Arabidopsis thaliana: one gene and its partners. The protein of the gene in region 1 purifies or fractionates together with the protein of each later gene. This does not show direct contact. Each region holds a gene or a part of one and is shown in the gene's direction. Other genes may lie near its edges.

Region 1 (6,731 bases):
CGTACATTTATCAAGATCTAATAAATATGCAGACGTATCATTTCTGACAACTTCGTCAATAAGAAAATATTCTACTTGATTCAATCATTTATGCTGGTGCATTTTTCCGGCAACTTAATCCTTCTTTTTTTGGTTCGGTGTCGATTAAGTTTTTGTCCCATGTTTTGGGAGTCACTAGTGGTTATGAGTCCTTTTTTTATATATCAGTTGCATAATTCACCTCAATACAACGACCAATAAAATATTCTGTTGATGTACAAAGAGTCAACCATACGATATGCTTTTAGTAATACTTCTAAACTCAACATTAATTAAAAATGTAGTTATTGTCTTACTTGTAAATTATTTAGGTTAAAACCAAAAAAAAAAAAACTATTTAGGTTTAAAATGTGTAAATGAATAAGATCAGCTTCTTTATTACAAAAATTACTATAGAACAAATATTGAATTTTCAACTCTCGTAGCGTGACGGAATCTCTGGGGTCAACTAGTTGACATCTGACTTATGAGGGTCGTTCACACTATCTAGTATCAATCTACTATTTATCCTCCGTTTTTTTCCTTTTAAATTTGATAGTAGCTACAATACTATCAAATCACAAATTAAACAATCGAATGATTTGATTATTATCTTAGAGTTGCAAAATATTTGTTGCCATTTATTAGATTGTTAGCTACTTTTAAAATTGTATTTAAAACTTTGTAATTTCACAATTTTAGTCATGGGGTCTACCTAGAAGACTTTTACATACAGACAAAGAAATTAAGCTAAACAGATGATTACTTACGTCAATGACCTTATATACGTAAGTCCCAACTATATAAGTCAAGCTTGTAAATTGCCTTTATTGACAGTTCAAAAGTAAATTAATTTAATATAGTATTACTACTCAAAAATATATTTTTCATTTTCGAAATAACTTGTAGTGAAATCCCACTAGAGATTATGTTTGGGTCCTAGAAAGTAGAAAGTGGAGTCATTTTCAAAATTATTTTTTACTTCCAAGTTGTTTCGAACTCAAATTGAATATTATCGTAAATAGAAACTCAAACGCATACATTACTTCGCCCACAATTATTTGTAAAAACATTATGTAATTTCTTTCATATTTACTATTTAATTTACATAACCATTGAGTCAATGTTTAGGCGGTTCTTTTGCCTACTTAAGAGTGGAGCTCGGCGACTTCATGGCCTTCATCGCCGCGGGAAACATAATCCTCGAATACGTTGTCGGTGGAGCTGCCGTGGCTCGATCGTGGACCTCTTACTTCGCCACTCTCTTAAACCATAAACCTGAAGACTTCCGCATCATAGTTCACAAACTCGGCGAAGACTATAGCCACTTAGATCCAATAGCCGTCGGCGTTTGCGCCATCATTTGTGTTTTAGCTGTCGTTGGCACAAAAGGCTCCTCAAGATTCAATTACATTGCTTCTATAATCCACATGGTCGTGATTCTCTTTGTTATCATCGCCGGATTTACTAAAGCCGATGTGAAAAACTACAGCGATTTCACTCCTTACGGCGTTAGAGGAGTGTTTAAATCCGCCGCGGTTCTTTTCTTTGCCTATATTGGATTTGATGCGGTTTCAACGATGGCTGAGGAGACAAAGAATCCAGGGAGAGATATTCCTATTGGTCTTGTTGGATCGATGGTGGTTACTACGGTTTGTTATTGTCTCATGGCGGTTACGTTGTGTCTTATGCAGCCGTATCAACAGATTGATCCGGACGCGCCATTCTCGGTTGCGTTTTCTGCCGTTGGATGGGATTGGGCTAAGTACATTGTCGCCTTTGGGGCTCTTAAAGGTATGCCAAAGATTTTGGCCTTCATTATTTATTTGCGTTTGCGTTTACATTTAGTATAGTCTAAAATCTATACTAATCTTTGAAATGTTTAGGTATGACGACGGTTTTGTTAGTTGGGGCCATTGGTCAAGCTAGGTACATGACACACATAGCCCGAGCCCATATGATGCCTCCATGGCTAGCTCAAGTCAACGCAAAGACCGGAACACCAATTAACGCGACCGTGGTAATGCTTGCCGCGACAGCTCTCATAGCATTCTTCACAAAACTGAAAATTTTAGCCGATCTCTTGTCTGTTTCCACACTTTTCATCTTCATGTTCGTTGCTGTGGCTCTTCTCGTTAGAAGATATTACGTCACCGGAGAAACATCGACCCGTGACCGTAACAAGTTTTTAGTGTTCTTAGGTTTGATTCTTGCGTCCTCTACCGCGACTGCTGTTTATTGGGCTTTGGAAGAAGAAGGTTGGATTGGGTATTGCATTACGGTTCCTATATGGTTTCTGTCTACGGTTGCCATGAAGTTTCTTGTACCGCAAGCTAGGGCTCCGAAAATTTGGGGTGTTCCTTTGGTTCCGTGGTTGCCTTCTGCTTCCATCGCTATTAATATCTTCCTTCTTGGTTCCATCGATACAAAATCGTTCGTTAGGTTTGCAATCTGGACAGGTATTCTGCTCATATATTACGTCTTGTTTGGGTTGCACGCAACGTATGATACAGCTAAGGCGACGTTGAAGGAGAAGCAGGCATTGCAGAAAGCTGAGGAAGGTGGTGTTGTTGCTGATAATTCTTGTTCTGCAACTTAAGCTCACTAGTTGGTTTTAATATATTGTTAAAGTGTTTGGCTTTGGATTCGGGTTTATTAATAGTTGTCAGATTCTTCGTTTGGTTAATTAGTGTTCTGATCTCAAGAATTGTAATGTCTTTGGTTTGTTTAGATTTTCAATATGTTAATAGATTTTCTTCACATTTGCATCAAACATGATAATTAAGGTCTGGTTTAATCCTTCTCAAGTAAAATAGATGTGTGACAAAAGTATGTCGTATTTGAAACCAAAAATCAACTTATTCGAGTTACCAACGTTTTAATTTATGAATTCACAAGATACTTTTTTCCATTTAATTTGTTTATGAGTAAGTTGATTAATTTGTGGGTTAGGCCCATCATGAAGTAAACCTATTAACCTAGTATTGTTTGCGGGGAAAGTTAGGGCAATTTGTGGATTTCTTATTTAAGACAGAACAAAGAAGAAAACAAACTCTGTATTTTTTTCTCCATCGCCAGTAAACCCTGCGTTCTCTCTCGCTCGCTTGTGTGTGATAGAGAGGGAGAGAAGAATGAAACTCGAGAAGAAGAAAGGTATTGGGGCGAAGAGAAGAGGGAAAAAGAGTTCCATCGATCATGATCCTTTCTTAGAGGAAGAGACAGAGAAGCGGAGAAAATTCAATTACGATGATGATGATGATATCGAATCTGTAGAATCTGAAGAGGAAGGGAAGGTTGGTGAGGAGGTGGAGGATGAGTTTGCTCATGAGACGGTAGGCGAGAAACGAAAGAGACTGGCGGAGGATACTTTGAATAGAATCGAAGAGGCGAAACAGAGAGAGCATGAAGAAGATAACGAGGAAGATGATGATTTTAGAGATTCGCTTGTGGCAAAGACTCTAATGCAGGAACAGCTCGAGAAGAGTGGTCGTGTTCGGAGAGCCAATGCATTGAGGTAATGAAGAAGAAAGTTGTTATTTTTCATATTTGAGTCCATGAGCTAGGTTTTTATATTTGAAACCACTCCTCAGGACTTGTTTAACTACGTATTCATAGACTTCAAAAATGCTTGTGATTTAGGTTTTATGGAATTTTAGGAATTAGTTTACATTAGTTTTTATATAATGGCTTGGAGATTGTTTGTACTGATACTCTGATTAAACTTTACCGTGTCAGGGTTCAAGATCTACAGAGTAGCGATAAGTTTCGTGTTATAGTCAAACACCAACATTCTGTTACAGGAGTAGCTCTATCAGATGATGATTCAAGAGGGTTCTCAGTTTCGAAAGACGGTACTATTCTGCATTGGGATGTATCTTCTGGTAAAAGTGATGAGTACAAATGGCCAAGCGATGAAGTTTTGAAGTCTCACGGGTTAAAGTTCCAGGAATCTTGGTATACAAGACATAACAAACAATCTCTAGCATTAGCTGTTAGCTCTGATGGCCGGTATTTAGCGACTGGAGGAGTTGATTGCCATGTTCATTTGTGGGATATCCGAACACGAGAGCATGTCCAGGTAAACAAGCTTAAAAATAATCAAGTTAAGGATTCTGTTCATTGTGTCTTGCTCTCAGCCTCTTTTATTAGATATGTATCTATTGCAGGCTTTTACAGGTCACTGTGGCATTGTTTCTAGTCTATGCTTTAGAGAAGGAACTGCAGAACTCTTTTCTGGTTCATATGATGGAACATTAAGTATATGGAATGCAGAACATAGAACATATATAGAATCATGTTTTGGACACCAGTCTGAACTTCTATCCATTGATGCTCTAGGGAGGGAGCGTGTTCTCAGTGTTGGACGCGATAGAACAATGCAGTTATATAAGGTAGGTATTGTGGTCTGTTTGATTTGTTTGTCTATATCTAAGCACGATTTTTGTTTCCTATCAGGTTCCCGAGTCTACTCGGTTGATCTATCGAGCTTCCGAATCAAATTTTGAGTGCTGCTGTTTTGTTAATAGTGATGAGTTTTTGTCCGGATCAGATAATGGAAGTATTGCACTTTGGTCCATTTTGAAAAAGAAACCAGTGTTTATCGTTAACAATGCTCACCACGTGATAGCTGATCATGATTCTGTTAACCATAACTGTACACCAGCATGTTCTTGGGTCAGTTCAGTTGCTGTCTGTAGAGGTAGCGAGCTTGCTGCATCGGGAGCTGGTAATGGTTGTGTGCGTTTATGGGGTGTTGAAAGTGGATCTAGTGCTATACAACCTTTATACGAGCTTCCACTTGTAAGTTTGTTTTCCTAGGTCGGCTCTTATTGCTATTTGTGTGTTGCATCTGTTACTGACATCCAATGCTTATGACCTTTTTGCAGCCTGGGTTTGTGAACTCTTTAGCTTTTGCAAAATCTGGTCGGTTTCTGATCGCTGGTGTTGGACAGGTACACATTTTCCTTTAACCAGACATATATATTCGTCTCTGTGAATGCCAATCTTAACTGTAACTTTGGGTATATGGCAGGAACCGCGGCTCGGAAGATGGGGTTGCTTAAAATCTGCGCAGAACGGTGTTGCAATACATCCCTTAAGGCTTTCATGAAGGGATCTCAATTTAGATTGCAACTTATTTTAGAACTTCAGTTATGTAGAGGTACTACAGCTATATTTTTGACATGGAAGGGAAGAAAGAGAACATATAGAGGCTCTAATTAAACAAAATCGGAAAGTCCCATTCCTGCTTTATGCTTAAAAGTCTTGTTTTATTGATCAAACAACATATACAATCTGATCTTTACGCATAGAGGAACTTTGTTTTAGTGGTATTCAAAAGATCCTAAAGAATACTAGAATTGATAAAAATTTGTGGTTTAAGAACTCAGATACACAAACTTGATTATTTTACCAGAGATTTGGACTCAATAGGTCTACAAAAATAGCTAGTGAACTAAGGAAACATAGAAGCCAAGAGGTCCCTAGATGAAGTCTAATGACTACGATTCTCTCTAGACTAGCTACCTCAGCTTTCAAACTATGATGATCCTTGGAGAATCGTGGTCTTTGTAGCTTTAGGACTCTTGCCATTGCACTCTACTGGACCGGGTAACAAGATGCAGAAAATGATATGGAGAGCTTGAAGAAAATACCCAGAAACTATGCATTTGAATGAAGAAGCACAAGCAGATGCAGGACATCCTTTCCTACATAACATTCTGCTGAACTTCCAACACAAAGCTCACAGAGGACAAACCTCAACTCCCATATTGATTAAACAGTTGTAATCTTGGTGCAGAACTGTAGATTCCAAGATAGTCTGCAGTTCTTATCTAGGAATATGGTTTTGGTAAGGATAAAAAGTTATACCAAGTTTGAGCTGATCATGACCCAGTGGCCTTCCTAAAGGTTAGAATATATGAAGAGACAAATCCTAAATGTATGAGTGTACAGTGTTCATACACATAATACTGAAAAATGAAGATTTGAAAGAAGTATGCAAACAGGCAAACACGATCAAGGAAAGAGATACAAAAGAGGTTTAACAAGATTCCATTTACATCCTAGACAACTTCACCTCTCAGAAGGCCGATATGAAACAATATAAAGTAGAAAAAGATTAAACTTTCAAGCTTCAACTAATATTCTATCATATAGTAGCAACTGCCAGTGACCATTTTATTTCAAGTAGATCACAAAAATAAAGACAAATGTCTCAAAGTTATATCCATTGATCGAAATCCAATCAACACAACTAATAAAACAAGAGAAAACCAATGACGCAAAGACAAATTCCTCTAACCTTAACAAGATCATCTCAACTTCTCTTTACCAGAGCTCTTCCTAGCCGCAGCATTCATAATCCTCTCCAAATACCCTTCAATAGGTGGAGTAAGCGTAGCCGTACCTCGACTCACCGGAAACGGAGTCAAATCACGCACTAAAGCCGCCTTCTTCAAATTCTCCGGCAATGCCTCAACCGCAGCGTTCCTCATCTTCATCAAACTAATCTCCGCTACACGTCTCGCTCTATGCTCTCTCATAAGCACTCTACTATACTCTTTCGCAAGTCTAATCCCATCCTCCACTGTAACCTTATACTTTGGTAACTCATCTTCCGTAAAAATCCCTAACGAAATGTAATCCAATCCTGGAGTCCCAATCCTCATCGGCGCAGTAGTAACTCCCATCGTAAAGGATCCACCTTTCTT
Region 2 (9,152 bases), 2.1 Mb from region 1:
GAGTACCACGCAAGAAACCATTCCTAAGAACCATGTACGGAATGTCAAAACTGGTAGAGATGGATCGTCGGTTATCGGTACGGTTAAACGGACCTCTTCGATTGGACTGTCGTTTTCATCCTCTTCTTCTTCATCTGCCCCAGGGACAAAATCGGTTTACTCAGAACCAACCAAAGTTGCTTAGTATGATCTACATTAATCTAAAGGAATCGAGTTGTGTTTAAGAATTATACAAATAGAGCATCAGCCATAACGGTACACAAGGAATCAAACCACATCGAACCAAGATTGGTCAAAACAGAATCGAGATTTTATTTACCGGCTATGACGATCTTGGACTCAACCTTGTGCTCTGGAGGCTTGGATACTTCGAGAGAGCCTACCATTTTCTGTTAGGCGGCCCTGACGTCGATCGACTCGGGTGATAATGTCCAGAGTTCTGAATAACTTGCTGTAGAAGTAATGTTCTTGTAAGCAACCTGTGTTAATGACCTGACATTAAAAATAAATTTTCTCTGCAATTTTTCCAGGAAAAAGGAAAAAGTTAGACCTCTGTTTTAGTTAAGATGTTTGAGAGGATGTACTAGTATTAGAGAAGATACAAGAGAGTATTTCCTCTAATATGTATTGGAGTGAAGACTGAAAGAATCATGATTTCTCGACGAATTTCTTAATATCGACAAGTTTACTGAACTCATTAGAACTAAAGTTGTTGATTCACTTTCAGTGGAAAAAAAACTTTCACTTCGGGGTAAAAAGCTAAAATCTTGATTTCGAGTATGAATGTAGATTCTACATCTGGTATGTTTTTGAAATAGGTACTTAAACTAAAAGAATAAACAGATCATAAATATAGCAATTTTTGGCATTTAATCATTTAGAGATACTGGATCTAGCAATTTGTAGTGTATTCCGTCTATAGCTTTCAATTATTCACTTTACTTCTCTGGTTTGAAAGAGACAAAAATCAGTTTACAGAAAGTAGACTTTCTATATAGAAAAAAGAGAAAGAACTTATCAAAAATAGTTTATACATACACTCTCATTCAAAGTAAAAGATTAGGATAGAGAGTAAATTACAAAAAGAAATTGAGCATTACAATAATTAGCGGATGTTGATAATAAAAAGGAAATAATTGAACTAGCAAGAGACAATTTTGTGAGGTAAGAGTTGCAATTTAATTGGCGATCACTTGCAGCAGCTAAAAACAAAATTTTTAGCGATAGTGACAGTCTTAATGCATTATGCATGTAATTGGTTCGTACGTGTATACTTGCTGGTGCACCGCTTAATAGACTCCGAATTTGACTCGGACTCTTTGTGCGTTGGACGCGCGTCACAGGTGTGTCTTTCGGTCTTGCTTGTGGTCGCAATTGTATGTATCGTTGTTTTTGTTTTGATTGCCAATATGCATCATTGTTTCCATAATCTATCGGTTATACAATATGAAACGCATATTTCCACTTTTATTCAAGTTTCTGTTTCTAAGACACACACTGTCTTATTCAATCTGTTTCATGTCAACGTCTATGACTAGGTTCTATGTGTTATAAATAACTTGCAACTTCACCAAAAACATAATACATTTTTTTTTGACAGCCAAACTACATATATATCCTGCAAATGATAATATTTCAAATTCTAACACAATTTTACAAGAAATTTCAACCAATCAATCAAATTATTTTTGGTAGTTGGAATTAAAATTCACCAAAAATAAATTCGTGTTTTCATTCTTAAAGAAGAAACAGAATCGTTTAGAACTGATTTTAGAAAATTACGTGATTCATTTCAGTTTTTGTTATCAACATCACTAGCTTCAATCATGCATGGGCTGAGCATGTAACGCAGGTAGAGATGTCAAAATGGGTTAAAATTCATGGGTTAACTCAACTCAATTCAACCCATGAACTCTAATGAGTTGAAAATTTTGACTCAAATGAGTTAATGGGTCAAATGAGTTGATGAGTCAATTGGTTTGATGAGTAAAATGAGTTGGGTTGTAATGGTTAATGATTTCAATGGTTTACCCAATTAACCCATCAAGTTTTGTAAAATTGAATTAAACCAACTAAAATTTCTAAACCAATGCCAATTTAAGTTTAACCAACACATTTAAACCAATTTAATAAAATTAATATTTTTCCAAATTTCTTAAATATACAAGCGATGAAATTGATAAAAAGTAAACTCGTAATTTTTCACTAAAAAGATAAACCCGTGATTTTCCCGCCAAAAACGTAAATCCATAATTTTCCCGCCAAAAACGTAAACTCGTAATTTTCCAGCCAAAAACGCAAATCCGTAATTTTCCCGCCAAAAACGTAAACTCGTAATTTCCCGCCAAAAACGTAAACCCGTGATTTTCCCGCCAAAAACGTAAATCCGTTATTTTCCCGCCAAAACGTAAACTCATAATTTTCCCGCCAAAAACGTAAATCCGTAATTTTCCCGCCAAAAACGTAAACTCGTAATTTTCCCGCCAAAAACGTTAACCCGTGATTTTCCCGCCAAAAACGTAAACCCGAGATTTTCCTGTCAAAAATGTAAACCCGTAATTTTCCCACCAAAAACATAAACCCGTAATTTTCCTGCCAAAAACGTAAACCTATAATTTTCTCGCCAAAAACATAAACCTGTGATTTTTCCGCCAAAAACGTAAACCCGTAAAAAGTGGAATCCGTAAATATTTTAAGTTTGATGATAATGAATTAATAATATTAATTATTTATTATTGTTTTATAATAATAATTAATTAAATTATTATTTAAATGGGTTAACCCATTTAACAATTCAATCCATCAAATTAAATGAGTTATGGGTTGACCCAACTCATTTAACATCTAAACTTATTTGATTAAGAGTTGAGTTGGATTACCCATTTTGAAACCCCTAAACGCATACATCAAATAACTTATTGAATTATGTTTTTATAGGTTTTATGAATTCAGTGGCTCGATAATTTATTAGGCTGACAAAAAATAAGTTCGACTACAGCCCATTAGTTAGTATTAGTCAGGCCCATTAGTTAGTATCAATCAAGCCCATTAAGCAACTTTGCTCATCCTCCATCTTTACTAGATTCTTCGACCTTGCTTCTCCTACCTCTGCAATTCTGCTAAACCCTCACGGCGATAAACCCTAAGTTGTAAAAACCGTATCCATGGCTGCTCTTACGCGTAACAAGAAGAAGGGTTCCAATTCACAGACTCCGCCACTGAATAAGCAGACTAAGGCGTCTCCGCTGAAGAAGGCGGCTAAAACCCAGAAGCCTCCATTGAAGAAGCAGAGGAAATGTATTTCGGAGAAGAAGCCCCTCAAAAAGCCTGAAGTTTCCACAGACGAGGAAGAAGAAGAAGAAGAGAATGAACAGTCTGATGAAGGGTCTGAATCAGGTTCTGATTTGTTCTCTGATGGTGATGAAGAAGGAAACAATGATAGTGATGATGATGATGATGATGATGATGATGATGATGATGATGATGAGGATGCAGAACCCTTAGCTGAAGACTTTCTCGATGGTAGCGATAATGAGGAGGTAACCATGGGTTCTGATTTGGATTCTGACTCTGGTGGATCCAAACTCGAGAGGAAATCTAGAGCTATTGATAGAAAACGTAAAAAGGAGGTACAAGATGCAGACGATGAATTCAAGATGAACATTAAGGAGAAACCTGATGAGTTTCAGCTACCAACCCAAAAGGTTACATTTTCCTTTACTTAATTGTGGATTTGTTCATATTCTGGATCTCTGGAGCTATTTGTTAGCTAATCTTTTCTATTACTCTACATTGTTTAGGAACTTGAAGAAGAGGCACGTCGGCCGCCAGATCTTCCTAGCTTGCAAATGAGGATAAGAGAGAGTGAGTAACATTTTCAAATTTTATTCCTTTTTAAGAATTCTGGTGTAATGTTATTATTATGATTGTTTTAAATCTCCTAAGGAATCATCCTCTCGGTTCTTAGTTTAATGGTACTAATTTGTGTTTCAGTTGTTAGAATCCTGTCGAATTTTAAGGACTTGAAGCCAAAAGGAGACAAGCACGAGAGGAATGATTATGTTGGACAGCTTAAAGCTGATCTTAGTTCTTACTACGGCTATAATGAGTTTCTTATTGGAACTTTAATTGAGGTTATTCCCTAGTCTCTGACTTTACTCTTTATGCTTGCTTTGATCTAGAGTTATGTGTAGGAATTCTGTTACTTATACTCTTTAGTTGTAATCTTCTGGCAGATGTTTCCTGTTGTTGAACTCATGGAACTAATCGAAGCTTTTGAAAAGAAAAGACCTACATCTATACGTACTAACACTCTTAAGGTGAACTTGGTTGTGCATTGGAGTGTCTAAAACAAAGTATTTCTCAGCTGTTGTGATATTTCAATTAATGCTGATGTTTGTTTTGGTTAAGACTCGAAGACGGGATCTGGCTGATATACTTTTGAACAGAGGAGTTAATCTAGACCCATTAAGCAAGTGGTCAAAAGTAAGTAGTATTTGCAGATTGTCTTCCATTTTATTTGCGAAAACATTTTTGTGGACCATCTTTAGTTGATCCTGGCATAATATTTGTAGGTTGGACTTATCGTTTATGATTCACAAGTTCCGATTGGTGCAACTCCTGAATATTTGGCAGGATTCTATATGGTACTTGATTTTCTGATTTTTTTTGTACTTTTCGGCTCACACTTTATGGGTTTTCTTATTGTTTACTTAAGTATGTTCTTGGTACATTTTCAGTTGCAAAGTGCTAGTTCGTTCTTGCCAGTGATGGCCCTTGCTCCTCGAGAAAAAGAACGAGTTGTGGACATGGCGTAAGTCATTATCTTACATAAATGCACTATATTTGTGTCTCAGATAAATATATATATATATATATGATGACCAAGCAGTACCTTAATCTGATATTCAAGTGTAGCTTGTGATATGTATCATTTGTTATGATTGTTGTGATGATAAGTGCTGTCAAAACGGAAAAGCCAATTTGATTGTCCCGTGATGTGAGACATATGCAACTAGTATATTGTGATATCTGTAACAAGTTCTTATACCACTGCAGTGCTGCCCCTGGTGGTAAAACAACATATGTTGCTGCACTAATGAAAAATACAGGTATACATATATTGGTTCCTTATTCCTCCAGCCCCATAATTTTAGTCAGTTATATCTAATGTTATAATGTTTATATAACCAGGCATAATATATGCAAACGAGATGAAAGTACCTAGGCTTAAGTCACTTTCTGCCAATCTACATCGCATGGGAGTGACAAATACCATAGTTTGTAACTATGACGGACGAGAGGTTAGTTTCTTGAACCTTTATTCTTCTGTTGACGGTACATGCTTGAGGATGTTAAATATTGCAAACTGGTTGTAAACCATCAGCTCAACCAAATTGAAAAATTACTGGCAAGACTGTAATTGCACCAAATAACAAAGTTTTAAAGACAGCTTCTCTATTATTCCCTTGCATTTTTTATTTATCTCATCTTCTTTGCCTTTCAGCTAACCAAAGTTTTAGGTCAGAGCTCGGTTGATAGAGTATTGCTGGATGCTCCCTGCAGTGGAACTGGAGTAAGAAAGTTTGGACCATACACTCTTATAGTCTTTTAAGTGAATTTCTCTGTTCATAGTTTAATGTCACTTCTACACAATGCAGGTTATATCAAAAGACGAATCAGTTAAAACTTCCAAAAGTGCTGATGACATAAAGAAATTTGCCCATTTGCAAAAGGTATGTTGTTGCCTTAAACAATATCAACTAAAACATTCTTTACATCCAAGACAAATATTTAAACATGAAAATGGCATAAACGCCGTTTATACCCTCTTACTGTGAGTATATAAAGAAGGATGCATTTGGTATATAATGCTAACCATACTCTCTTCTTTTCTTGCGCATAGCAACTTATACTTGGTGCGATTGATTTGGTAGACGCCAATTCCAAAACCGGTGGATATATTGTTTACTCAACATGTTCAGTTATGATACCCGAGGTTGGTGAACCATACTTTTTCTGTTCCACTATTTTTTTTTCCTGGCATCTTCATGTTTTCTCACTAGTTCTATTTGTACAACAAATTATGCAGAACGAAGCTGTCATCGATTATGCTCTGAAAAACAGGGATGTTAAACTCGTTCCATGTGGACTTGATTTTGGCCGACCAGGGTAATATACATTTTCATCTGCATTGAAAAATTTCATGATTCGTCATCTGAACACAAATGTTTTGCTGCATATCTTCAGATTTAGCAGTTTTAGAGAACACCGGTTCCACCCTTCTTTAGAGAAGACTAGACGTTTCTATCCTCACGTGCACAACATGGATGGATTCTTTGTTGCAAAGGTATACACTTGGTTAACCTATGAATAGCTTTTCCCTGCAAAACAGATGTTTTATAAAATATGAATAGTGATTAAACCAACGAGGTATTTACTTTTTCCTTTCTTTGTTCTGCAGCTGAAGAAGATGAGCAATGCAATGCAGCCTTCAGGAAATGATGAGCCAGCTGTAACAATGGAGCAAGCTCAGGTGTCGTCTAGTGATGATGATGATGAGAAAGCTGAGGCCATTGAGGAGTTGGAGAAGCCACCTGTTGCCAGTGGGCAACCCAAGAGAGAGAGTAACACTAAAGAAGACACGAACAAACGAAAAAATCCAAGGTCAAAGGAAATTCACAAAGGCAAAAGGAATAAAAACACAAAAACCGAAAGTGGTAATGTGGAAGAACCCAGGAAGCAAAAGAAGAAGAGATCACAATGGAAGAATGAGATTGCTCAAGCTAGGTAAAAAAACTAAGTGTTTCCTTGACAGACAAAAGAGAAAACCTTCTTATGTACATTGTTGTATCATACACCCATTTACCCATAAATGGTTGAATATGTTGCAGGGAAGAAAAAAGAAAAACCATGAGAGAGAATGCTAAGGAGACGCCAAAGCACAGGGGATAAGAATAGGTTTGAGATCGTGATGCATCTTGAAGAGTAGAATATTTCGGTGTTCTGGCCATGGCGAAGGACACAAGAAAAGAGGCTTCATTGGCTGAGGCCAAGGTATCTATACAATGGCTTTCTAGTTTTGATTAATTTACTGCGTAAAGAAAGGGTGACACCCACATGGATTAGCTGTTACATGTCCAAAAGTTTTGTATCAATCACATAACTTGATTTTTGTGAGAGGCTGTTTCTATTTTCCGTTTTCAATTGGAGTTGTAAAATTTATTGAAAACAAAAACGAGTCCCTACTTTCTCTCACAAGTGTGTTTGAAAGGCTATTCATTTTTCTGCTCCTAGCAATTATTTAATAAAATACATAAATCTTGGAGGGTTGGGTCCATACCACCACATAAGGATAGAATTTCTCATAGTATTGATTTGACGAAAAAATAAGGGAATTGGGAGTGAGCTGGTCATTGTTAGGGAGAGATGTGAAGGTTTTCTGAAGTGGGACTTGAGTGTTGGAGAAACATGACAATCCAATTCAACTCTTCTTCATCCATCTTTATCAGATTCTCCTCCGTTGGGGACCTTACATTTACTTCTCTCACACTAATCTTCTTGTTTCTATTTTTAGATTATAAGCCCATATTATAACTGCTAGTGCTTGTAGCCTTGTATACACAAACTCACATGCATCACATATAACATCGTATAATTGCTGTATTCACTTTATATTTGGATATCCAAGATTATAGAAAAGAGATTCCTTTGCAGGACCCAAAAGATACAGCTTTTAAAAGCAAATGAGTTCATTTTAATTTCTTGCTAACCAAAATGGTAAGTAATTTTGTGGACTTATGGTATGGATAAATAACAAAATCTCAATAAACCATTGAAAATAGGAAATCAAAAAATATATTTCTGCATATAATTTGAAAAGAAAATTTGCATGGAAATAACTATGTTTTTGAACAAACTAAACATGGAAATAATTATTACCGCAAAGTACAAGGCATTACGATAAGCATCCTTGAAAGCTTTGTCTTTTTTTTTGGGAACTCGAAAGCTTTTTGTCTTCCAGTTGTAAGAAAAATACAGGAAAAAAGAATTGAAAAGCCCTAAATAAAAAAGTCGAAAACTTTAGCTTTGACCAACTCTTTCCTCTCTTTTCATGGTAGACCCAACTCTCTCATTTCTTACTCTCTGATTCATCTCTCTCTCTCTCTTCATTTCCATGGAAGGAAGGTGATGAGCTTTCTCAATCTCTCTTTACTGATTCTTAATGAAAGTCATCTCCTTTCTCTTTGGTATCCCTTTTCTTCTTCTCTGCTTAATTCCTGACCAAAAATTGTGACAAGATCTTTCAATCCAAAAGCTATATACATTAAGGTAACGATTTATGAAGTATTTCTCCTCAATTTCATTTCTTTTGTTTCTACGAGTCTGCATAGATCCAGAAGAGCTTTGCTTGATTGTTCTTACTTTCCTGAGATCTGTTTAAACTTAGCAAAAAAAAAAAGTCTACTTTGCATGAAATGTGTGATTAGGGTTTATGCTAATTTTGGTTAATTGGAGAATCAGAGAGTGTTCCCTGATGTGGAAGTAGTGAATTACTTTGGGTTGAGTAAATGTATGTCTCTCAATTGATTGTCAACGAGATTTGAGCTCGAGATCCGTAACCAAGTTGAGCTAAAGCTTCTTTCTTTCGACTTGTTCTCTATATGAAAATTATTTTTTCTTTGACTCAGTTATTTTTCTTAATTTGATTTCTTTGAGCTCGATCTTATGATTCATACTGCAATGATTGAGTTGTGGCATCAGCTCTGATGGTATCTTCTGTTTTTAAAAAATAGCAACTTTTTAGTGTTTTTCTGCTCAGCTCTATGTTAAAGGATGTTTCTTCATTACGGGGAGAAATGAATGAGAGCTCTTGTTTATTGATCTTCCCATGATTCTAGTTCTAAACGAGCCTTCTGTTATCTGAATTTGAAGTGTTTTAAGCTTTTTTATTCTAATAAGCCGTCTTCTTCTCTGACGCTATGTTTTGCTCACTGCAGAGCTCAGGTCACTATCTGACGGGATCCGTGACAATAGTGGTTACTGGAGTCAAAAGCAGCTCCTTGAATCTTGAGTGTTAAGTAGATAGGTAAGGTAACCGTTCATGGCCTCGAAGTATGGTTCTGGAGTTCTCCCAGAAAATAAGAAGGAAA
Region 3 (7,152 bases), on another chromosome or scaffold:
CTGCGTTCGATTACCAGATGGGAGAAGAATACAGAGAAGTTTCTTAAAGAGTGAATCTGTTCAGCTTCTTTGGTCGTTTTGTTATTCGCAGATTGGTGATGAATCTTCTGAGAGAAAGCGGCGTTTTAAATTGATTCAAGGGTTTCCTGGGGATTATAAGAATCTTTATTTTGGATCTAATACTACTTTTGAACAATCTGGGCTTGCTAATTCCTTGGTTTCTGTTACTTGGCTCTGAAGAATCTTCTTTCGATCTGTAATTAGAAAAATAATTTCTTTCTTCTACCAAGTTTATGTTTACTCAATTTCTCGAATTTGTACTTGGAAATTGCAAATTTCATTTGGTTTTCTTGAATCGTTGTTAGATATTTCCGATCAAATCGTTTTTAGATAACACTGTTTCAAAGTCAATGTCGTCATCATCATACAAGAAGAACGTATAGTTTTTGGTTTATCTTTTTGTTGCTTCTTAAGTCACTCTTTCTCGCATAGTTTTTGAGGTGACGAAGTTACGTATACGGTGACGTAGCAAACCAAGCCCATAAGCCCAAATTCTAAACAAGCCTAAGACAAGTGAGCAAGGAGTGGGTAAACCAAACCATACCAAAATGAAACCGACAAACTCGTCGATATGTGCCAGGACCGGGCTTAGAGGGTGTGCTGAGGGTACATTTGTACATTGTCCATTACTTTTTAGTCAGATTTCTTAAAGCAATTAGGGTCCTATTTCTAAACAAGCCTAAGACAGCATCAAGTGAGCAAGGAAGTACTTCATGTTCATGCACAATTTCTAGGAATGGGAAAGACCGTACCAAAATGGAAACCGAGAAACTCGTCGAGACCGGCTTTGATTAGATAGTCTATCGAAGTAAAATATCGAACTTCGATGGACTATATTGAAGTAGATTTGTGCTCTACTGCCCTCGAAAAAAACATTAAAGTAGATTACTACTACGTCATAATAACAAACAGTCTTTAACAACAACATCATCATCACTCGATACATCTCTGCCTCTGTACAGTTTTGCTGACATATTCACAACACCGTTGCCTCAGTTTCAGCCAAGTACACTACTTCTTACTAATCCAGGGGGCCTAATAGCAGGAAACCAAGCCTACAAAGCACAAATCCCAAACACAAATTTTTGAGTATAATATAAGGACTGAGCTAATAAGTTAAAACATTTCTGATTTTTCTGATAGAAAGGAAATTTTACTATTTGGCCCTCTTTGAACACATCCTTCCCTCTCCTCCTCCTCCTTCCCCCAAAAAACCTGGAGAACCATGCAGTTGCAATTTCCTCTTTAACCCATTTCAAAGATTCGTTTTTTTTTTTTTGTAAATCTCTTTCTCCTTTGGCGAATTCGTATTCCTTCTTTTCCAATGTAAGTTCTTCTTCCTTGATAATCGAATTCTTCTTTTGATCTTAAACCAATCACTACTCCGTCGTTGTAATCGTAATTCTCGATTCACCGTTGTTCGGTTATAAGATCATTCATCAGAATCGGATTCCATTATTTCGGTGACCTGGATTTTGATTTTGATTTTGATTCTTGCTGCTATGATCACGATCTTGATATGTAAACTCTCTTCTTCTTTTTTCTGATTCGATGAAATCAGGAGTTCTAGAGACAGAGGATCACCTTCTTCTTCTTCGTCATCTTCTTCGTTACCAGGAATAGAAAAGTATAATGAAAAGGTGAAGAATCAGATACAAGCTCTTGTTCGTGTTATTAAAGTTGCTCGTACCTATAGAGACGACAATGTCCCTTCCCTTATTGAACAGGTTACTACTACTACTAATACTCATAGGTTTTTTCTACCAACCAAATGACCAATGATTCATTATCAAAGATCAAACCTTTTGTTGAATTTGACTTTTTCAGGGTCTTTATCTTGGATCTGTTGCAGCAGCTAGTAATAAGAATGTTTTGAAATCTTACAATGTTACACATATTTTGACTGTTGCTAGTTCGTTGAGACCAGCTCATCCTGATGACTTTGTTTACAAGGTTGTTCGAGGTATAAACTTATTAAAGGTTTCACTTTGTTATCTAGTTGAAGAGAGAATATGTTTTTGATTTTGGGATGGAATTGCTTGTTTGATTGTTTTTCTATGTGATAGTCGTGGATAAGGAAGATACAAATCTAGAAATGTACTTCGATGAGTGTGTTGATTTCATTGATGAAGCCAAGAGACAAGGCGGTAGTGTTCTTGTTCATTGCTTTGTTGGCAAATCACGGAGGTCAGTTTTGTTTGCTTCCTTCAATATCTAGCGGTTTTCGCCTTGTTTGCTGGATAGTATTCAAAACTAAGTACATATTTAGCCTGGATGGTTTGTCCCTTTTACTTGCAGTGTCACTATAGTTGTTGCTTACCTCATGAAGAAACACGGTATGACTTTAGCTCAAGCATTGCAACATGTTAAAAGCAAAAGACCCGTGGCAAGTCCTAATGCTGGTTTCATCAGACAATTACAAGACCTCGAGAAGTCTATGCAAGGTATGCCTTACTATAATATCTTGAGGTCTAGACTATTAGGTTGAGATCTCTGTGGTGAATCTAAGTTGGAGATACTTTGTCTGTCTGATTCAGTAGTGAGTGACCAGTTTTTTTCCTTTTGAGGATGAAAAGCAAGTGGTTGTGGAGGAGAAGACAGTTCCATGTAAATATCTCTTACATGCATCTTCCTTCTTCTCTATAAAACAGGGAAGCAAGTTACGATTGCACAATGTCAGGCGTGAAGATCATTGATCGTACCATTGGGAGAAACTTGTAAATCTCACACGAAGCATCAATCAAAATGTTTTGTTGTTTCTTCTCCTTAACAACTCGAATAATAACATGGAAACGAATTTGGAATATGTTCATGTTCTCTATTCGTTTTGTATAGTTTCATCATCATGGATATAAAAGTGAACATAAATAAAAATTTGTAAATTTTTTGTACCGCAATGAAATGTCTTTTTTGTGTGTAAAAGTTCATGGGCTGTCATTGTTTAATTTGAGCCCGTATAGTTTAAACAGTTCATGGACCTTGTGAAACATTGGGTTTTATAGTCAATAAAAAACTGTGGGGTGATTTAGGACAGACTTATAAGGTTAGGGGTCATATTAGAATTCTCTTAAAGTTGCTTCCAATTGTGAGGAGGCACTAAAACCCTAGACTCCATATCAATCAATCGAAAAACCTTTCTCTCTTCTTTCGGAGCCGTCGCTTGTGAAACTTTCCGGCGATTTAACAGAGTCATGATGGAAATACGAACTCCGAAGACTGGCAAAGCCAAGCGTGTTCTCGAAAGCCGAGCTCCTAAGTTGGTAAAGTTCTCTTCTTTTTCTCCTTCGTCCTTCTTAAAACCGAGAAGTGAATCATGTTGAGAGCTGTCTTCAATGTTGTTTTGACATCTATGAGACTCATGGGTTTTCTATTTGTCGATAAATTTATCAAAGAATCGATTGAAAGTTGCAAACTTTGTATCTGAATTGGTTGTTTTTGGAATTTGTAGGTTGAAACTGGGAAGAAGACGTTGATACTTCATGGAACAAAGACGAGTGCTACACTTAGCTCTGTAATGACGGAACTCTACCGTTTGAAGAAGGGAGGTGCCATCAGATATTCAAGGAGGAATGAGAATATTAGGCCTTTCGAGAGTGGAGGTGAAACTTCATTAGAGTTCTTCTCTCAGAAAACAGATTGTAGCATTTTTGTGGTAAGTTCATAAGCTTTGGCAGCTGTTGCATCTTGGTTTTATGGTGTTGCAACTTTGATTCTCCTCTTAACTTAGCTATGAACTGCTAGATAGAACAAAATGTTATTAAGATGATCTATCCTGTGATCTAGATTCATTCTAAGGCATCTCTGCTTCTGTCTTGTTAGTCTATGTGTATTTATTTATGGTGGAAATTGGTATGATTGGCTGATGTTATCACAGGCCTTAAGAAGTCATTTGGAAAGGTGTATTGGCAAATTAACTTTGATGCGAGTTCTAACATTGGTGATTGTTTTTATATTGCAGTATGGTTCTCACACGAAGAAACGACCTGACAATCTTGTACTTGGGAGAATGTATGATCACCAAGTCTATGATCTTATAGAAGTTGGGATTGAGAACTTTAAATCCTTGCGGGCGTTTTCGTATGACAAGAAATTCGCACCTCATGAAGGAACAAAGCCTTTCATTTGCTTTATTGGTGAAGGTTTTGAGAATGTATCAGAGCTTAAGCATCTCAAAGAAGTCCTCACTGATCTTTTTCGTGGCGAGGTGAAGTGTTTGATTCTTATGACCTACTTTTGCAGCTAATTCCATAACCAGTTTCAATTTTATTCTGATTCTATATGGATTTGGCTTATAACAGAATTTGTATATGTCTGCAGGTTGTGGATAATCTAAATCTTACTGGTTTAGACCGCGCTTACGTATGTTCAGCTATATCCCCAACAAAGGTTTTCCTTACTCATTGCGCATTGAAGCTTAAAAAGTCAGGATCCATTGTTCCGAGAATGGAGCTTGTTGAAGTCGGTCCATCCATGGACTTGGTTATCAGGCGTAATCGTCTTCCTAACGATAGCTTAATGAAAGAAGCAATGAGAACATCCAAGGATAAGCCTAAGAAGAAGGTACTAAACAACATAAAAGTCTAATATTTCTCTTAAAATCGAAAGAGACAGATGACTAATCAATCAATCTCTTCTTCTACAGGAGAAAAACGTTGATCAAGATGCAGTACTAGGGAAGACTGGGAAGATTTATATGCCTGATCAGAAGGTAAGAAAGAAAGCGATAAACGCCAATATCCGAATCTGGAGATTATTATTTTTATTATCATCCCAAACTGATATGTTTTCGATCTTTGTGCAGCTGAAAGAAATGAAACTGTTCGATAAATCTAAGGGATCGAAGAGAGAGCGGAAAGACGCTAAGCTTAAGCATAAGGAAGAGACTGTTGCCAAAAAGATGAAGGTGTCTTCTGAGTGACTCAACAGACCACTCTTGGCTCTGCATCAACAGCTTTCAATATGTGGAAGATGAAATGATTTTGTAGTGTAATGAGCTTGACTTTTATTTTTCCATTAGAATCTATAACTGAATGTTTTCTATACGCTAATATTTTATTAAGGTGATTTTGTTTTGTTAAAACTCTGCAGCAACAGAAACTGGATATGATAAAAACACATTTTTGTCTATCTCTGTTTCCTACTGCAGTACATGCGTAAGACAGCAACTTTTTTCCCGTGTTGAATGAGACCACAATTTTTGCCTGTATCACTGTCTTACCAACAACTTTTTTACCTCTTTTAACTACCATCTCTTAGTGATATCTTACTTATGAAAATGAAGCTGACCATGATGATTATTTCGTGTATTTTTTTACCTACCAACTTTTAAATGATAATGACTGATACATGTTGAGTTTACAAACCTAATTATTAAGCTTTTATACAGTTAGCTGTCTTAATCTTTCAACACTAGGCTTATACCTTATCTATAATTGAAACCTACCCCTATGGACTCTTCTTCATCATTATTCTTTATGGTTTTTATTTACTATATGTTCCAAACCAAACCATAGGAAACTAATGATTAAAATAGTATATCTTGCATCTATCACCGAATGTTAATTTGTATGCATGACTAGAATCAATTAAGGAAATGAGAAGTTCGTCTTGTGGATTTCGAGGAACTTCAATGCATAGATTATCCTATAGTTATCATCAATGGATTTAATGTTGGAAAAATGAAAAAAAAAAAAAAAAAAATCAAATAACATGTGACAGAAATAAAATATCATTAATTATGATGTTTACAACATTGTTATTTTTTTCTATACGCGTGAAAGACAGTCCATTTTGATTACCAAGTTTCGGACTCAATGCATGCACGTACCGACAGTACCCGTTGTACACGATCTGTGGTCACTAGCAAACAATTGACCCATCTGACCATCTCCATTGAAAAAACTAAAATATACACCGATTTGATCAAATTAATTAATACTTTTTACGTGTTGACAAAAAAAAATTTGCACGTAGGTTCTGCTTTAAAAAATTGTGAAGTCAAATGGCAACATAGATATACGCTTTATAAGTAAATGACAATATGTTATATTATCATATAAATTTGTATATGAACTTGAAAAAACTATCTTGGTGGAACAAATAGTAGAATCCAAAACATCTATTATAACGATTGCCATTTCTTAGCAAATACTCCAATTCTTAAGAATCTCTTGCAAGATAATTAATTTAGCAGTAAAAGTTTTAAAATTCATACGCCTTAAACAAATGGTTAGTTTATTACCATCACCATCATCATTTCATCATCACCATTCCCACATATGTTTCAACTATATAACAAATTTTAACTTTTGACTCGTTAATGATGCCAAATCCGCACGCTCAGAGCAACATAAGCAACGACTTCTTGTGGTAATACTATTTTCTTATCATCAGATTTTGTTTTTTTTCCGGGAGTTTAAGACATCTTTATTAGGTGTAATATATAATATTTTCTTGTATAATGGATCTTCCATCGTCCGGATTATCACTAACATCGGCTGACAATATCAGTACTAGCATGAATATTACTTCCACTACAAGTCCTTTTTTCTTTCACAATAAGATATAGAATGATTGTTGGTGTTAATTTGATACATGAATAACCAATATTAATTAGTAGCTTAAATAATTAGAAGAGGGTTTGACCAAAACAATAAAATAATAATAATAATTAGAAGAGGGATGATACCGATATCAAACATCAGTGTCTTAAGCCTTATCGATCAATTCTTCGAAACCAAGAAAATCGATCATATAGATTAATTTGCGATATAATTTTCACATTACATCTCAAACTTAAGTAAGGACACAAAAGAAATTTTAACATTAGGAAATGAACAAATACTTGATGGAATTTTTTGTAGAGATAATAGATAATGCTTAAAAAGATATATATGGCCAAGTTGTTTTGTATAGATAATGTTAAAAAAGAAGGAACTATTATGTTCCTAATGATTCTTCCATTTGAAATGTAAAGACGAAAACTTTGGGCACATACACAAACACTTATTTTAGTTATATAACGCATAGATTGTGTGGTTACACGTTCGTTGCGATCATTTGTGCTTTTGTTTTCCAGCTTTTGTTTAGTTA

Evidence for each region. The genes of interacting proteins can lie anywhere in the genome.
Region 2: the proteins of EMB2271 (region 1) and AT4G26600 fractionate together in Arabidopsis thaliana (co-fractionation; one large-scale study listed by BioGRID). This does not show direct contact.
Region 3: the proteins of EMB2271 (region 1) and AT3G23620 fractionate together in Arabidopsis thaliana (co-fractionation; one large-scale study listed by BioGRID). This does not show direct contact.

Annotation. Positions count from the first base shown.
Region 1 is NC_003075.7:11,271,159-11,277,889, forward strand, and holds EMB2271 (Transducin/WD40 repeat-like superfamily protein), read left to right. Parts: upstream 1-3,137; 5' UTR 3,138-3,149; coding exon 3,150-3,532; intron 3,533-3,753; coding exon 3,754-4,096; intron 4,097-4,184; coding exon 4,185-4,409; intron 4,410-4,473; coding exon 4,474-4,818; intron 4,819-4,904; coding exon 4,905-4,970; intron 4,971-5,050; coding exon 5,051-5,128; 3' UTR 5,129-5,141; downstream 5,142-6,731. Other genes in the region: AAT1 (amino acid transporter 1), read left to right, coding at 1,150-1,812, 1,905-2,617; AT4G21140 (copper ion-binding protein), read right to left, coding at 6,333-6,731. UniProt on the Arabidopsis thaliana protein: Component of a nucleolar small nuclear ribonucleoprotein particle (snoRNP) thought to participate in the processing and modification of pre-ribosomal RNA. Essential for embryogenesis. May function during late embryogenesis.
Region 2 is NC_003075.7:13,416,465-13,425,616, forward strand, and holds AT4G26600 (S-adenosyl-L-methionine-dependent methyltransferases superfamily protein), read left to right. Parts: upstream 1-3,096; 5' UTR 3,097-3,164; coding exon 3,165-3,704; intron 3,705-3,800; coding exon 3,801-3,864; intron 3,865-3,993; coding exon 3,994-4,133; intron 4,134-4,235; coding exon 4,236-4,319; intron 4,320-4,410; coding exon 4,411-4,485; intron 4,486-4,574; coding exon 4,575-4,646; intron 4,647-4,739; coding exon 4,740-4,813; intron 4,814-5,058; coding exon 5,059-5,111; intron 5,112-5,193; coding exon 5,194-5,303; intron 5,304-5,506; coding exon 5,507-5,575; intron 5,576-5,660; coding exon 5,661-5,735; intron 5,736-5,905; coding exon 5,906-6,171; coding exon of another isoform or gene 6,172-6,175; exon of another isoform or gene 6,176-6,249; coding exon 6,250-6,349; coding exon of another isoform or gene 6,350-6,376; exon of another isoform or gene 6,377-6,463; coding exon 6,464-6,789; coding exon of another isoform or gene 6,790-6,793; exon of another isoform or gene 6,794-6,893; coding exon 6,894-6,954; 3' UTR 6,955-7,327; downstream 7,328-9,152. Other genes in the region: OPT5 (oligopeptide transporter 5), read right to left, coding at 1-134, 320-386; D6PKL1 (D6 protein kinase like 1), read left to right, coding at 9,104-9,152. UniProt on the Arabidopsis thaliana protein: Involved in ribosomal large subunit assembly. S-adenosyl-L-methionine-dependent methyltransferase that probably methylates the C(5) position of cytosine 1586 (m5C1586) in mitochondrial 26S rRNA.
Region 3 is NC_003074.8:8,476,896-8,484,047, forward strand, and holds AT3G23620 (Ribosomal RNA processing Brix domain protein), read left to right. Parts: upstream 1-3,129; 5' UTR 3,130-3,251; coding exon 3,252-3,320; intron 3,321-3,508; coding exon 3,509-3,712; intron 3,713-4,018; coding exon 4,019-4,264; intron 4,265-4,377; coding exon 4,378-4,620; intron 4,621-4,702; coding exon 4,703-4,768; intron 4,769-4,861; coding exon 4,862-4,978; 3' UTR 4,979-5,327; downstream 5,328-7,152. Other genes in the region: AT3G23605 (Ubiquitin-like superfamily protein), read left to right, coding at 1-238; DSPTP1 (dual specificity protein phosphatase 1), read left to right, coding at 1,385-1,386, 1,622-1,787, 1,888-2,023, 2,127-2,247, 2,359-2,504, 2,641-2,756.